2 linked regions of the Alligator mississippiensis genome follow. The protein of the gene in region 1 purifies or fractionates together with the protein of each later gene. This does not show direct contact. Links are inferred from orthologs where the notes say so. Each region holds a gene or a part of one and is shown on either strand. Other genes may lie near its edges.

What was found. The genes of interacting proteins can lie anywhere in the genome.
Region 2: the proteins of EPS15 (region 1) and GJA1 purify together in Homo sapiens (affinity purification with western blotting; 3 studies listed by BioGRID). This does not show direct contact. The link is inferred for Alligator mississippiensis from reciprocal best matches to the Homo sapiens genes EPS15 and GJA1.

The regions. Positions count from the first base shown.
Region 1 is NC_081828.1:8,526,178-8,533,860, forward strand, and holds the start of EPS15 (epidermal growth factor receptor substrate 15), read right to left. Parts: upstream 3,075-7,683; 5' UTR 3,060-3,074; coding exon 3,012-3,059; intron 1-3,011. UniProt on the Homo sapiens protein: Involved in cell growth regulation. May be involved in the regulation of mitogenic signals and control of cell proliferation. Involved in the internalization of ligand-inducible receptors of the receptor tyrosine kinase (RTK) type, in particular EGFR.
Region 2 is NC_081824.1:105,797,136-105,804,907, reverse strand, and holds the start of GJA1 (gap junction alpha-1 protein), read right to left. Parts: upstream 3,003-7,772; 5' UTR 2,763-3,002; intron 1-2,762. UniProt on the Homo sapiens protein: Gap junction protein that acts as a regulator of bladder capacity. A gap junction consists of a cluster of closely packed pairs of transmembrane channels, the connexons, through which materials of low MW diffuse from one cell to a neighboring cell.

The DNA of each region.
Region 1 (7,683 bases):
CGTCATTCTCCCGTTGTACTCGACCTTGGTGAGGCTGCAGCTGGAATACTGCGTCCAGTTTTGGGCTCCGCAATTCAAAAAGGATGTGGAGAAGCTTGAGGGAGTCCAGAGGAGAGCCATGCGCATGATCAGAGGTCAGGAAAACAGACCTTACAATGGGAGGCTGAGAGCCATGGGACTCTTCAACCTAGAAAAGTGCAGGCTCAGGGGTGATCTGGTGGCCACCTATAAGTTTATCAGGGGTGACCACCAGTATCTGGGGGAACGTCTCTTCACCAGAGCACCCCAAGGGATGACAAGATCAAATGGTCACAAACTCTGCCACAACCGATTCAAGCTACACATAAGGAAGAACTTCTTTACTGTCCAAGCCCCCAAGGTTTGGAATAGACTGCCACCAGAGGCAGTTCGAGCGCCCACTGTGAACACCTTCAAGACACGTTTGGATGCTTATCTTGCTGGGATCATAGGATCCCTGCTGACTTCCTGCCCATGGGGCAAGGGGATGAACTCAATGATCCTCTGGAGTCCCTTCCAGCCCGAATGACTATGAAATCTATGAAATATGGCCCTAGACTCCTAGCATATTAGTAAAGCTTCTAATTTCTTTTTACCTGGAGAAATAAATGTGTGTATTGTGTTACATGTTACCATGCACCACACCATCTGCACCCCTCTTTTCTAAAATCCTAGATCCACCTATGACTATAGGCAAAGCTTCCTGGATGTGGTGGTCAGGGAAAGTCCTGGACGTAACTTTTAGGACAGACCCATGTGTTCAAATGAGTGCATCAGGCATCATTCCTGACCCACAGTTTTTAATATCAGTTAACCATTCCCTGTAATCTAACAGGACTTGCATCACAATGGAAAAGCACCACTTTCTATGGTCCTACCTGGAGGCTGGGTGTATACAAATGAGTCCTGTGTCTTATCCCTTTGCTGCAATCAGAGGGCTCTCACAAAGTGAGGATCTGTATTTTTCCTCCACATCATCAAGGAGGATGCATATGATACTTCTGCACATTTGGATGATAACAGCCCTAACCATGGACTCCCACCTCAAGGGGCACATCCCCACATGCAGGGGTACGCTCTTGCAGCAGCAAAAAAAAGTAGCAGCACAAATACGTGCCACTACTTTTTGTCATTTCATGTTGGTACGGGGCAAAATGCCCCACTTCAGGGAAACGCCTCCTCCCGGCTCCGTGTCCTGGAGGAGCCAGGGTGGAACTAGAGGAGACGACACTCTAACAATCAGCCAGAGCGTCTCCCGGGAGGACCGAGGCTCCATATCTGCCAGAGTACACTCCGGTGGCAGCCACCGTGCTGCTTTTTTTGCAATTTTTTTTTTTTTGATACTGGGATTTCCCAGTAGCAAATTTTGCCCCCACGGTGCCAATTTGCAGCATGGAACATGTTTTAGTGGGCTGGGTACGCAGTTTGTGGTGCTGCAAAAAGATTTGTAGCACCACAAACCATACCTGCCTGCACATCTGGACTGGGCCAAACAGATTTCCCATAGAACAGTAACAATGTAGGGTCATCAGCTGCCACAGTGCAACTGCCACCTACTTTTGGACCAGCAGAGCTGTTGGGTCAGCGCTGGAAGACAAGAGCAAGCTCAGCACATGGCTTGAGAAATGCTGGCTTCCATATGCACGTTCAGCTGCCACTGTTGACCATCCCAGAACAGCAATATAGGAAGCCCATGCTAGTTTCCCAAGCCCAGAAACAGCATTTAGTGATGTCCAGATGGCCAATCAGCCTGCACTTGCTATCCATTTATTGAAAAGACCATTCATTCCCTTCATCTGACCCATCTGCCTCCTTGCCAGACCAGTTCCAGGTCAGGCAGAGCAAATATGAGAGCCTTTCCAGGCCTAATTAGCAGGAAACACTCCATCACCTCTTTGGCATCCAGGCTGATGGCAGGGAAAAAAACATGTGGGACTGTAAGTATTCAAAAATGGTGAGGGACATAAGGGGGAAACAGCACTGAGGGACAGGTGCTCATAATTCCTCAGTATAAAATCAGCATCTCATAATGCAGCGCACACACTCTCCTCCTTTTTCCTCTGAAGGCACAAGGCCTTTTAGTTCAGCTATGCCAGAAACCAGGTTATTCTTTTATTAGCCCCTCTTTAACATCTGAGATATTTAATTCACTTTGTCAACAACTCTTCTGTCTCAATTTGTACCAACTGAAACATAACAAAAATTTTAAGAATTCATAAAAATATCACAAATTATCACTTATAATATCATTGAGAGAGAGCAATTCTACTTGGTATCGGCACACCTCCAGAGCCTAAAGCCACTGTCTCTTAGCTTCTCAATGGACATAAATTGCAAGTATCCAAACTCCGCTGTCATTATCTTTTGCTTTTAGGAAAGAAAAACAAGCTGTTCTATAAGAGACACGCACTGGGCGACCGCACTGAGCTGAGCAGCTCTCCCACAACGGCACGTACGAGCAAAGAAAAACCTAGACAGGCTTGTTCCTCGAACTTAAGAGCTGTCTTTTACTTGGTCAGCCTATAGGTCCGTCTTGCCAAGTCTCACGGGTCAGAGAGACAGGCAGCAGATGCTGAAAGGCAGAGTGAACAGGGTCTGACTGGGTTTTCCCCCCCCCACCGCTCCTCTCTCACTTGCAGCCGCCAGCATTTAAAGTCCAGGACGCTCTAGTTTAGTGGCCGAGCGCCTCGCTCCCGAGCCCAACAGCTACCGATGCCCTTTTTCTCCAAGAACGCGTGGGATCCCTCTCTGGACCCAGCTTCACCGTCAGCCTCCACAACACCCGGAGCCAAGGAGCGACACACTTCCATCCACCGCGTGAAAGACAACTGATTTTTGCTAGTTTTAAGTTTCCTGCCTACTCGTCTCAGTTTTGTGACCCCTCTTTCTCCTACCCAGAGAGAAACGGGGTCAAATAATAAAATCCCTACGTCCTTTTTTTTCGCCGTTAAACCCTGACCACACGCCTCCTTTCTAAAGGGAACAAGCCAGACCTTTTTAGCTTCTCCTCCTAGGGAAGCCCCTCCATGGCTGCTGAGCATCCTCGCCGCCCTTCTCCAGGGCTCCTCGAGCGTCGGGGCTGGGGGGAGGCACCGTGGATTTCGAAACGGGGCGTCACGACCCTTTTTATGTCGTTTGCAACCCCCTTCTCGACAACAACTAACGCTCCCCTTGCGTTTCTCTCCTGCGATATCTACTTTACCAATCCTTTTTCAGACCAGGCTTCAAAGGTGCTCAGCCTTGCCCCCCTGAGGGGCCGGGGCTTCACCCGCCCTGCGGCGAGGGAAGCGGGGCTGAAGGAGATGAGGGGAGCGGGCAGGAGCCCCTTGGGGGTCGGCAGTTTGGCAGGGGGCGGGAATGGCGGCGTTTCCCGAGCCCGGGGGCCGAGGCTGAAGGGTGCTGGCGCCCGGGACCACCTCTGCCCCGAGCGAGGCGTGTTTCCCGGGGCTGTGGGAGCGCGGGAGCCTGGCCGGGCCTGCGGCAAGAGGGGCGCGGGGCCGGTACCTGCGTCAGGGAGAAGCGGGCGGCCATGCTGTTTCCATCACGCCCGGCCGGGCCGCCCCGCCCCAAATCCCGCCCCGCGACGACTTCCCGGCCCGGCCCCAAGCCCCGCCCTCGGCGGCTTCCTGGCCCCGCCCCCGGATGTCCTCGGCCTCGCCCGCGTTCCATCACGTGTCCCGTTCCCGCGCGTTCCTGGCCCTGCTCGCGCTGCGCCGTCCTCGTGCCGCGCCCGGAGCCGCGGGGCTGGTTTCTAGCGCCCTCCTTCCAGGGGCCTCATTGGGCTGCTCGCACCCCGGGCTTGCACCGCCTTCCCCTGGGCAGAGTGCTCTTGCCTTACCCGCCGCCCTCATCAGTTCCTGGAAACCGCGTTTTAAGTCCAAACATCATACCTCAGAACCGACTTTCCCGTAGGGAACAGCGGTATCAATGGGGGATTGGTTGCTGAACCCCATAACTGGTTGGACCTAAATCAGTGAAGTCTGATACTACGGTCAAACAGGTTTATCTCAAACCAGTTTGTGCGTGCTGCACGTCTGTTCTGTTGCGGGTTTAAACCGGTTTCAGTTCACTTATGTGTCACGTCTGCCCCTAGTCTAAAAGAGAGGAACTGGGCCCTGACACTTCTGCCTCGCTCGTGTTTCGCGGACTGCTTGCCCCACGTCCGCAATACTTTTGCAACAGAAATTAAAAGAGCGCAGAGTCATTTAATGGTATTTTTGAACACTACTGGTTTCCAGTCTGGTGTTTGTATGGGATCGCTTCAGGTTAATTATCCTGTACTTGAGCGGCATGACAGATCTGAAATGCACTTTCAGGACAAGTGGCAATGTAGCAATTGAAGTATTTTTTTTAAGAGCTTGTGACTAGGATAAGTCGGTTTTATTGACTTGCCTTTCAGCCAGAACAGCTGCAGAAAGAAGACATTATTGAGAGAGGGAAGAATACAGAACGTGAACAGGGTAGTTGTAACCAACTATTCACAATTTTGAACGCTGTCAGCTAGTACAGGAAACCCTCAATATTCACGGCTTCGGCATTCACCGCTTCAAATATTCACGAATGCCAAACCTGCGTTTTAAATACACTTTCAGGAGCTCCATGCTTGCTGCCGCCAAGCTCCTGGCACTGCGCTCCCGCCGGAGCCGTGGCCCTCCTCCCCAGCTGCCGAGGCCACAGCGTTCATGAACGTGGTGCCTTATTCACAGATTTCGCCATTCACGGGGATACGAGAATATATCCCCAGCAAATGACAAGGGTTACCTGTAATATATTTCCTCATACTTGACCTTTTTGTACTCCATTCCACTTGAACAAAGTCTTAACAGTACAGTATAAATTACTAGCCCCCTAAGTCATTTCTCTATCCTTCCTTGATTAAAAAAATAATGCTATTAAAAAATCAGCATCTGAAGAGTGAACCAAGAGAGTCCACACACATCCACATCTGCTGTACCTTGCAATACCGAGCCTGTTTTGTGTTTGTCTGGAAGCCCCTCAAGGAAGAGTTGGGAGGCCTGATTTTTTTAATGATTTACACTTCGGTTTTAATTCTTGGTCCTTGGTCCAGCTCTTTCACTTGTGCAGCAAAAAGCAGCCCAAAACAGCCCTGAATGGACAGCCATAAATTCCATCCAACAAAAGGGAATCGTTGAGTGATAGAAAACTGGCACAGAGTATCTCAGATGGAAAGAGAGAGCCTGAGGCATGGCTTGGGCGAGGCTGGAACACATGATTTTGTCCAATGCTTTGCTAGCACAACGGGATCACTGCCACTGGCGTAACTTCAACAATCCTGAAGCAGGTCTAATTTACGCAACGCATAAAAGATGCATGGGAGTGCACATGAACCCCCTGACAGCGCTGACCCCTTGTCAGCCAGCGTTCCTGGGTGGGGGGAGCAGGCAAAAGCACTGGTGCCCCCCGCTGAGAGCACCAGCCAGGAAGTGTGCCAGGAGAAATGGTACCCCTGTGGCTGATCCCACTGACCCGGAAGTGCCAGCAGCATCCCCAGAAATGCCAGTGGTGCATCGCTGCTAGTTGCGGATCAGCAGGATCAGCCAACACGAGGGGACCCTCCCCCCGGTCAGCAGGATTGGCCACAGTAGGATCCTGGCCTGTGGGATTGGCCATGGGGAGACACCTCCCCCCCAGTCACTGACTGTTCAGTCGGGGGGGGGGGGGGCAAGTGCCCCCCCTGACTCAGGAGGCACCAGTCGCCCATGCATGAAAGCAAAAATAATTTCTGAGATTGAAAGGTCATTTAGAACTACCTGCTGTCTCTCCCTCCTTAGCAGCACCAACCAGTAATTCATCTCTACTCAGTGTTTAGCCCAGCGCAGAGTCTGTCATCTATACCTGTGCAAAGTAGGAAAAACATGCTACCATTCTGGTTTGGCAACATTTTCTACCTCTTCTGACTCAGCTCAGGTGTACACAAAGTCTAAGGCAGCGCAGCCTCAGGTTCAAGTAACACGGTAATCTTTTCAGTGTGCTATGAAGTAAGCTGCAGGAAGGGAAGCATGAGACTTGATTGATGATCCAAAGACTACAGGCTCTGCAGGTGGCCAGAGTCAGAATGCCAACAAACTACATGAAGGCAGATCTAATCATGGTTTGATTCTGTATCTTTTCTCATTCAAGATTAATTCTCTGTATAATAAATAGATTTCCTTTGTTGTACAGCTAGTGTAATAAATGCCCGTTGTTCTACTGCTATTAGTGGATAGTGCACAGTTGTCCTGACTTCATATGTACACACAGGGTAAAGGGGACTTAATGCAAACGTGAATTTAGCTTCCAAACCCCCAACCTCTTTCAGACACCTCTCATATTTATGGAATGGCTTTAATAGTATAGTCAAGGGTCTTCGAGCAAGTATTACTACATATGGCTAAGCTTTAGCTTGATTGTTTTGTTTATGCAAAGACCAAGGCTCAATTTACTTTATGATAGCTTTGTTTATATTTTGGAGGAAGACAAAGGAAGCCCATTATTTTTTCCAAGGCTACACCTAGTAGTTTAGTATGACTGGTCCTGCTGGTTGTAGGAAAAGCATTGTTAAAACTACATAGTATTCAAGAGGCCACGTTTAAAAGTATTGACTCCTCATGACTCCTGCCTACCTGTTTGTGATGAGCTTTACCAGCTTTATGGAAGTGAGCCCCTTCGTGCTCTGCTCCAATACAAAGCATCTCAACAGACACACTATTATAAATACTTAAGTACAGATGAATGACAAAATTAGGAACTTGAGTAAAAGAGAATCAGTTTAATTAATTAACTCATGACATTATAGTTAAGATCAAGTATTCTGTAATCATTGCTCTTCAGCAACTTTATTACTCTTTCCCACGCAATATTACCATGCATTTTATCACACTGAGTCATGTGTCCCTTAAGAAGCATCTAACATCAGTAGAACTACTCAGTATAAGGGTGATGGGAACCTAGTCCAAATCAGTGTCAGAATTTCTGTTTTCATAAACCTGCCCCAATTACAACATTCAAAAAACTAAGTAATATATGTACAGCCCCTCTCACCAGCAAAATAACTATTCTGTGTGCCTTAGTCTTCCTTTGCTTAGAAAGATGTATTATGACTCAATCTCTGAACCTTCCAGATAGCGAGTGGGTATCAGGGCCGTTCTCAAATGGGGTAACCATAACAGCTAAAAAGTGGTAGAAGATGGGTGAGGGGTATACTGTAGGTGTGTGGAGATGAGATGCTAGGAGACATGCTTCCAGGTGAGAAGGATGTTATCTTCGCATACAACTTCACAAAGCCAAGAACCAACTCTGTTTCTGGGAGGCAATGACATTTTACATAGCTGAGATGCTGAAATCCTTCCTGGGAACTGAGGAGGAGAATCATAATACATCTTTTAGATGGCAAAATCAACAGTCATGAATGCTGATGAGCAATCTTTGCCCATTAATAAAACATCTTGAGAAATGGTTTATGAACTGCCTATATTTTATGCAGCTGGAGGCTTTATAAGTGAACATTAACATTTTAAGGCCACAAGAAACAATTAGGATCAGCTAGTGTGACCTCTTACATAACACAAGCTACAGAAATACATGTTAATTTTGGCATTCCCACTCATAATGGCCATCTGAACTACAGCATGTATTTTAGAAAGGCATCTGGGTAGGAAATTGTAT
Region 2 (7,772 bases), on another chromosome or scaffold:
GACAGCATTCATCTGCCTGAGTCTTGGATGACCACATATAAAAGAAATTTGATCTAGAAGCCACAATTTAGAAATTCTAGAACTGTTTTTTTATGGAAGGCATTCATCATGTCATATGGTTCAGATTTTCCAGGAGATATAGTGCAGGCTCAGTACTGTGGTTAAGTGCCCAGGTCTGACTGCAGTGTCAGTAGGTCACATGGTAATGATCGGAAGAGGCATCAGGGCTGGTGTGTGGTAAGTGTGTGGGTCTGTGCAGCTGAAAGAGCACTTAGGAAGTGGGCCAAGAGCTTTGGTTCTCCCATAAATGCCAACAAAAGCCTGTGCTTAAAATGTACCTAGAAATAATTTCCCAAGCGTAGCCAAAGTCTCAGGGAAAGCAGCTGAGGTGCCTAAGACATGGGACTTGAGTGGCTGTGGACCAGGAACGTTAAACATATCAAATCTTACAAATGTCAGTGAAATGTTATTCTTACATTCCCCTGGAAAGGTACAGCCCATTTGGAATTCTGCAAATGCATTTAGTTGGTAGTAAATTTCCTCCAGAGGACAGGGAGGGTACCCCTGATGGTTGCATAGTGATGAGAATTTAACCCTCACAGCTGCTATTTTTGTTTTCTTTTACAGGCTTATGGTACTCACTGGTGATCATCCACTGATGGAACTTTTTACTACCTCCTCTTCCTCTGACGCATTCTCCCCCTGCCTCGTCTAACTCTATGAATCTGTCCAAGACAACTAAATACAAGACCACAAGAGTTTGCTTAAAAATTCCACTTGTACAAGTCAGGTAGACAGTTGATAAAACTTTTTACTCTTCTGGCCCAAATCATCCATGTTTTAAGTGGATGAATCAATAGAAGTGATGCCTACTTATATTTGTGAGGAATTCCAAGTTCATATGTTTCAAAATATAGAAGCCCACAAAATAAAAGCAATAGAAACATGAATCTACCATGCTAAGCTACCACACTAAGTTACCACACTAAACTTATGGAGTAGGCTAGGGAAAGGGGCTAGCAACATTACTTCTTTCACAAGAAACACTAGCTGGGCAGAGACTTCCTTAAATCCACAACAGTATGTTTACATAAACTGACCCTTGTTTAATTTCAGTTTCAGGCACAGCTTATCTTTCAGGCTAGTTTTAACTGAGACTGGGGAGACCTTTACACTCAGAGGTGCATATATGTATGTGTTTGTGTGTATGCGCATATTTGCTACAAATCAAATCCATTGCATCCTTCCCTTTCCCCTTTTGAACTCAGCCTGTTGCTCATCATTCTCCCATTGGTATGCCTGTTAGATATCACAGATCAGTGCCACTGTTTAGCTTTGAGGGCTTTTGAGGGAAACACTTCAGTAAACATTTCAAAGTCTGGAGACTTTGTAAATTATGTAGTGCAGTGTGCTGTCCAGATGTTAAGATGGCAGGGTGAAAGATCCAGGCAAGCCCCAGCTCTTCCAACACACACACACTCACATACACACACAGAAAAATCAAAGCTGCAAGTTGACCTGTGTTGTTGTTTTGGTTGATTTTAATTAAACACACTTAGAACAATCTAAAAGAACATTCTCTTAGGAAAATGTTCTGACTTTACTGTTATATTAGGACAGCAGAAGGAGAAATGCCAGTTGGGCACAAAACATTTTAGATTACCATCACATGTGTTACTCCAACAAAGTACACTTGTGATGTGGTTCTCACTCCAAGTGAAACTTCTTCCCCTCTCCATCTCCATCCTCAAAGTTTTTCTCTTTGATTACTGGCAGGCATCCAGGCAGCAATACCAATAAGGAATTAATCACTCCAGTGTCTTCAGACAAAAGTCAGTTCTCTAGAAGATGCTGCTCAGGAATTCCTTTCCAGTGCTATCTTATAGGTTTCAGGGCAAAGTATAGACAATTTAACTTGTGATATATGCTGTAACTACTCACTGAGAGTCCTCCCTAGAGAACATCTGCTAACACCCACCCACTCAATAACTTCACAGGCAATGCCAGCATGGTGAGACATATGCCTATGTGCTACATGGCTCCTCTACAATCCTTAACTGGAGTTGCTAATACAGAGTAACTATATACAAACTGGCTTAAAAATCCTTAGCACATGTCTGGATTTTATCACATCTATTTTAAAGAAGTAGGTGGGGGGGCGGGGGGAGGAGAGGGGGGGATCAGCACAGCCACGTGAAAGTCACTGGATTAGTAGCAGCAGTATTTTAACAAAGCACCTAATTAAGAACCATGTTTTGCACAAACTATTAAACATCAATCAAAATTTACATATGAAAGCAAAAAAGTGTATGGGATAGATGGGAAACACTCATGCAAGGGATTTGCTGTTACAAACTTGTAAGGCTTTTTCAGAAGATCAGGAGGATTTCCATACACAGAAGCACACCTCTACTTTTTTCTTAAGCTATTTTTTTTAATAAGATAATTGCATGGGTTTTTTTGCTTAAATCAAGTAAACAACCACAAAATCCAGCTCTGAAGATGAAGTATTGCCACAGTTAACCTGCCATAGAACTAGGTTAAAAAATGATCATTAAAAATATTTAGAAAAATGATTTAAAAGTAGTGTAAATGTAACAAAGCAAAAAACTACCCAGAACTTTTAACTGAGTAACTTTAGAAACACTTAGCACAGTTTTTTCCAACTGTGTTGCAAATACTCCAGACATAAGTAAAAGCAGTATAAGGTTCCTGGAAAAAAAGTATACTTTAAAAAAAAACCTAAAAACTTTCCAACTTACCCTTGCTGATCAGCAGTGAAGCAGGCGAACAAGTGCCTCTTTGGAGGGTAAACGTAAAATGGAAGAGAAGTTCAGACTCTCAGACTTGTCTATTTAAACTTTAAAAGTCTACTGCTGGTTTGTATTTTTCATCCTTCCTTCCCCACTAATGAAAGAAAAGTGCTGATACCTCGTAAAAAAGTTTTTTTCTAACTTGGAACACTGGGAGAGCTTTTAACAAGTTTTCAAGCCACTGACTGAAAGGAGGAGGAGAGAAGGAGGGACAAGCATAGGAGGGACAGCTAAGTGGAACAGGAGGAGAAAAGGGGGAGGAGGAATCACAGAAGAAAACAGTATGGAAAAAAAGGAGACAGAGTACATCAAAGTGTACTGTTGCTGTTATAATGAACAATTGAAAGGCATTGTTTACGGAACCTGAACATACACTAAGGGCACTTGAGTGGTAATTTATCCAGAAAGAGACTCAGGGTTACCTGAGCAGCTTAGCCCATTGTATAAAATCAAAGACGCTCTTTAGGAATGCAGGCATCAAGAAAAGAAAGGGAAAATAGAAAAACCAGTGCATAAGCACAGCCAATCTGCCAGAATCTAGTTTGGGGACAGACTACTTTGTTCTCATCGTTACCCTGAATGCTGAATGGGACTCACTACATTAGAAGGGGATACACCATGGCTTCCAAAATAAATAAGTCCTCTCGGCTTTTAATTTGTTTATTTAGTTTACTGCCTTTTGTATCCTTAAGGTGAACACCAGAAGGTAACAGTGTATTTATGTGTGGTAACAGGATGTTTGTTCAGCACAAGCATTTACTTAGAAGATAGCCATCATTATTTTGGGGGGGAGGGAGGAAGAATCTAAGTAGAAGAGCCAAACTGCATTTCAGGAAACTCTTTGCAGGAAACTTCAGTTAAATGTATAAGACAAAGCAGGGCAATTGATCTAAAATAGTGAGTAGCACTAAGCAGTCGAAGTATTTCAATTACAGTATACTTGAAAATCTGACCTTGTAACTGCACAGAAGATAACTTGGCCTTTGCCCCAATCTAACCATGATAAAACTTCCTTTCACTAATTTTTTCTTGGTGAAACATGGATGATTTTTCTTCTTTTTCCTGTCCAAGCATGGAAGTTCCCCAGAGAAAAAGTCTAACAAGGGTCATAGGAAAGCAAGGCTGAAAGAGACCTCGTAAGGTAATCTAGTCCAGCTCTCTGATCAAGGCAGGCTTATCCATGTCTTCACCACTCCAGCCAAGTGTCTAACCTGCTTTTGAAAGTTTCCAAAGATGGAGGTTCCACAGCTTTTCTAGGTAAAAGCCTGTTCCAGCATCTGACCAATCTCATCGTCAGACAGTTCCTCCTAATCTCAAACCTAAATTTTCCCTGTTGCAGCTTCAGGCTGTTGCTCCTAGCCCTGTCCCCTACAGCCACAGAGAAAAGCCTATCTCCATCCTCCCTACAATCATCTTTCAGGTATTTGAAGACCATTATTAAATCCTCCATCAGTTTTCTTTTCTTCAGTCCAATATCCCTAGTTCTTTCAGCCTGTCTTCATAAGTCTTGTCTCCCCTGAGACCCCTGATTATTTCTGTTGCCTTCCACTGGACTTTTTCAAAACTGTCCATATCCTTCTTGAAGTGTGGGACCCCAGACTGGACACAGTACTCCAAGTGAGGCCTTGCCAGTGTTGAATAGAGCGAAAGAATCTCTTCCCTTGATTTGCAAGTGACACTCTGAATACAACCTGGTAGACTAGACCATTGTGGACACCACATTTAAGACCTGATTTTTGTAGTTTTCTATGTGTTGTCTTTCAGTGCCCCATTGTCCTGTGCATTGGACATTGCTTAGGATAGCTTAGCAGATGCTCCAGCAGCTCCCAGTGGTTGGACAGCTCCTCGGGACCATTCTACTTTGATGCTCCACAGCTTGGCTTTATGAAGGTCTTTTGGGTCCTCGTTCTCAGGAAAGGCTATTTGTAGACTCATGTGTGGTTAGCACCATCCTGTCTTACCTCAGAACCTGTGCATAGAGGAAGAGATTTAAGTACAAGCCATTTAGGGATTTCTCTCAAGAAGTGGGTAATATTCCCCTTAGCAAGTTCCTTTCAGACCTGTGAATGTTATAGATGTTAGCTTATTCTTTCACTTAGTCCTTAACAGTGCCTGTCATCCACAGCTCACAAAGTCCTTCATAGAGGAAGAGAAACATCATTGTACATATATGGAAACTAAGGCAAAAATACTTGTACAGGGACACACATCAGATTAGCGGCACAGCTTAGTGAGGAACTCAAAAATTTTGCCTCATGCTTCATTGTCCACTGCAGCACACCATGATGCCTCCATTTTTGAAAAAGGTAGTATGCAGGTCACCTATGTACCCCTCAACTATCTTCTTCCTCTAACTAAAGCTTGATACACTTGATTTTTCAATTGTCTGTTTTCCTCTGATATTTTCTTGTTGTTTTGGACCTTTTAAAGTAATTAATGCAGTCCAATACACAAGGCAGAAAGAGACTTGTATTTTTAGAACTCTCTGGATGCATCCAGATGAGCATGGAAGTTGCTGGCCCCAGCAGCCTTACATAGGGTTCTGGGGGCCTCCTGGGGCTGCAGCCATGTCAGGAAGCCTGGCCAGCATCCAAAGCATGGATCGGGCTGGCCAAGCACCAGTTTGGGGCAGTGCACAGTGCCGCCACATGTGCCACCCCATGTGCACCACCCTGGGATCTCTTGGGGTCAAAAAGCCCCACTGCACTGCAAGGTAGCAGCACAGGTTATGCCTGCATGTGCAGTGTGTGGCACAACAGATGGGTCTGCAGTGGCACATACCACATGTTCATGCTCGTCAGGACAGTCTCTAGATCTTCTTCTTAACCTGATTTATTTTTATTTGGAATTGTAACTTTGGCAGGGGAGAGTTTCTGGGAAGGGAAGTGGGGCTTGGGGTATAATGGGACCCTGGGCCTTGGTTGAGAGTTTAAAAAAATAATAATTTACAAGTCTTGCAGCTCTTTTTCTTTTCCTCTATCTCTGTGGTATACCTAGTGGCTGGAGTAAATAGAAGACACCTTTAATTATTCAGTTTATTATGGATTCAGGGTTCCTATTAGGTGACAGGGTGAATACTTAGTTGATGCTTCAGGCCCTGCACCTAGCAAGAAGGGAGAGGACATTTGAAGTGCTCTGCATGATTTCATTGGTGCAATCATTGTCACTCTGATTTATTCTGAAAGAAAGCCATGGCCTCCTTTAGGGTTCTTCAATCTATCATGTTTGTGCATTGTATTATAACTTCTGTGAAATGCCATCAGGATCCTTGAGTATATATTTAACCTACCTGATAGTCCACCTGTATCTGTCAGCAAAGCCTGTGTAATTTTCAATGCATTTAATTCTCAAAAGAAACACTTAGAAGTACTTTCTCACAGAAATAAACACAATTAGTGTCAGAAACTCAGTTTTCATGTATTCAATCCTACAATGGAGCACACACACAAACATGCAGAAGCCATGAAAGAAAAAGCAACTTGGCAATAATAATAAACATAATAGGTAGAATTTTTACAACACTATTCATATGAAAGAAAACAATGTTTGGTTCCATTATCATTAGGGCCCTACCAGATTCATGGTGAACATGGGCTGCCCTGTGGTTCCTTTAATCTTGTAGGTTCCCCCACGTGCCTCCTGCTGCTGATTGGTGGAAGGTCCCCACTTGCAGCTTACTCCTGATTACAGGGAAGCAAAAACTGTGGTTTTAAACTTGGCACCATTTTTGCCTCCCCACTGATGAGCAACAAGCAGCTGAGCTACTGGGGCCCCTCGGCCTATCAGCGCCAGAGAGACAAAAATGGTGCCAAGTTTAAAACCACAGTTTTCATTTCCCTAATAATCAGGAGCAAGCCGCAAATGGAGCTGCTCCACCAATCAGCAGTGGGGGTGCACAGAGGAACCTGCAAGATTAAAGGAGCTTCAGAGCAGCCCACTTCCTCTGTGTATCTCACAGGGCCCCAATTAGCATGAAATCCTCAAGAAATAAGAAGGGTTGTTATTACTAACATTATTCATATTATTGAAAATGTCCTTTTAAAGCTTATAGTTATTTGTGTCTGTCAGCCAAATGTCCCAGGTTACATTTGGCTCCAAATTATGCTATTATTCAACATTTCAAAATTATGAGGGGGAGCGGGGAGGAGATAAAGAATAGCATTTAATTAACACTTTCAAACTATTTCAAACTAAATGAACTCTTTCACACAGCTTCCCATTCAGCAACCCCCTACTAAGTTCAGCCGGAAGTGGCAGGATATCAGAGTTGGACTATTTATAATACTAAAAGGTGAGTGAAATGATCCTTGGCTAGGGACAGAAATTATACATAAATTGGTATAAGCAATTGGAAACTAGTTCAAATCTGTCACACAACAGAATTTCAGTGCACATAAGCCACTTTCAAAATGGCCAAAACTGATTTAAGATAAACCTAGATGGATGTAGTATTAGATTTAACTGATTTATGTTAAATCAGTTTATTGAACTTCTGTTCAAAGATCCTCTCCAGATCCAAGTTAAGTCACAGTCCCCCAGCATCCCAGGATGCTTTGCAGCTCCCCCACAACTCCCCCCTCACAGGATAGGCATGCTAGCCTTGGCCCAAGCTTTCTACTCCAGCCAAGTAAGGAGGCATGCTTTACCTTCCCTCAGCTTCTGGCCTGGGCCATTCAGGCATGTGGCTGCCTTTCCAGAATCAAAAGTGAATGGCTGTTTGCTTGCTTATTGGTTCAATCTATGCAGTTTATACTAACCTGTGAAGATTGACTTGATTCAGCCTCAGGCTTTTTGACTGTCTGTGCTTAGCTCTTTAAACCAGATGTGCCACTTGATGAAGTCTGTACTGTAAAACAGGAGTTATTACCTCATGAGGCAATACTCAGTGTAGAAATGCTAAGTTTGTGAAACCTGTTTGGGTTTGGTTTTGGCAAGCTAAAATGCAATCAGTGAGGGCAA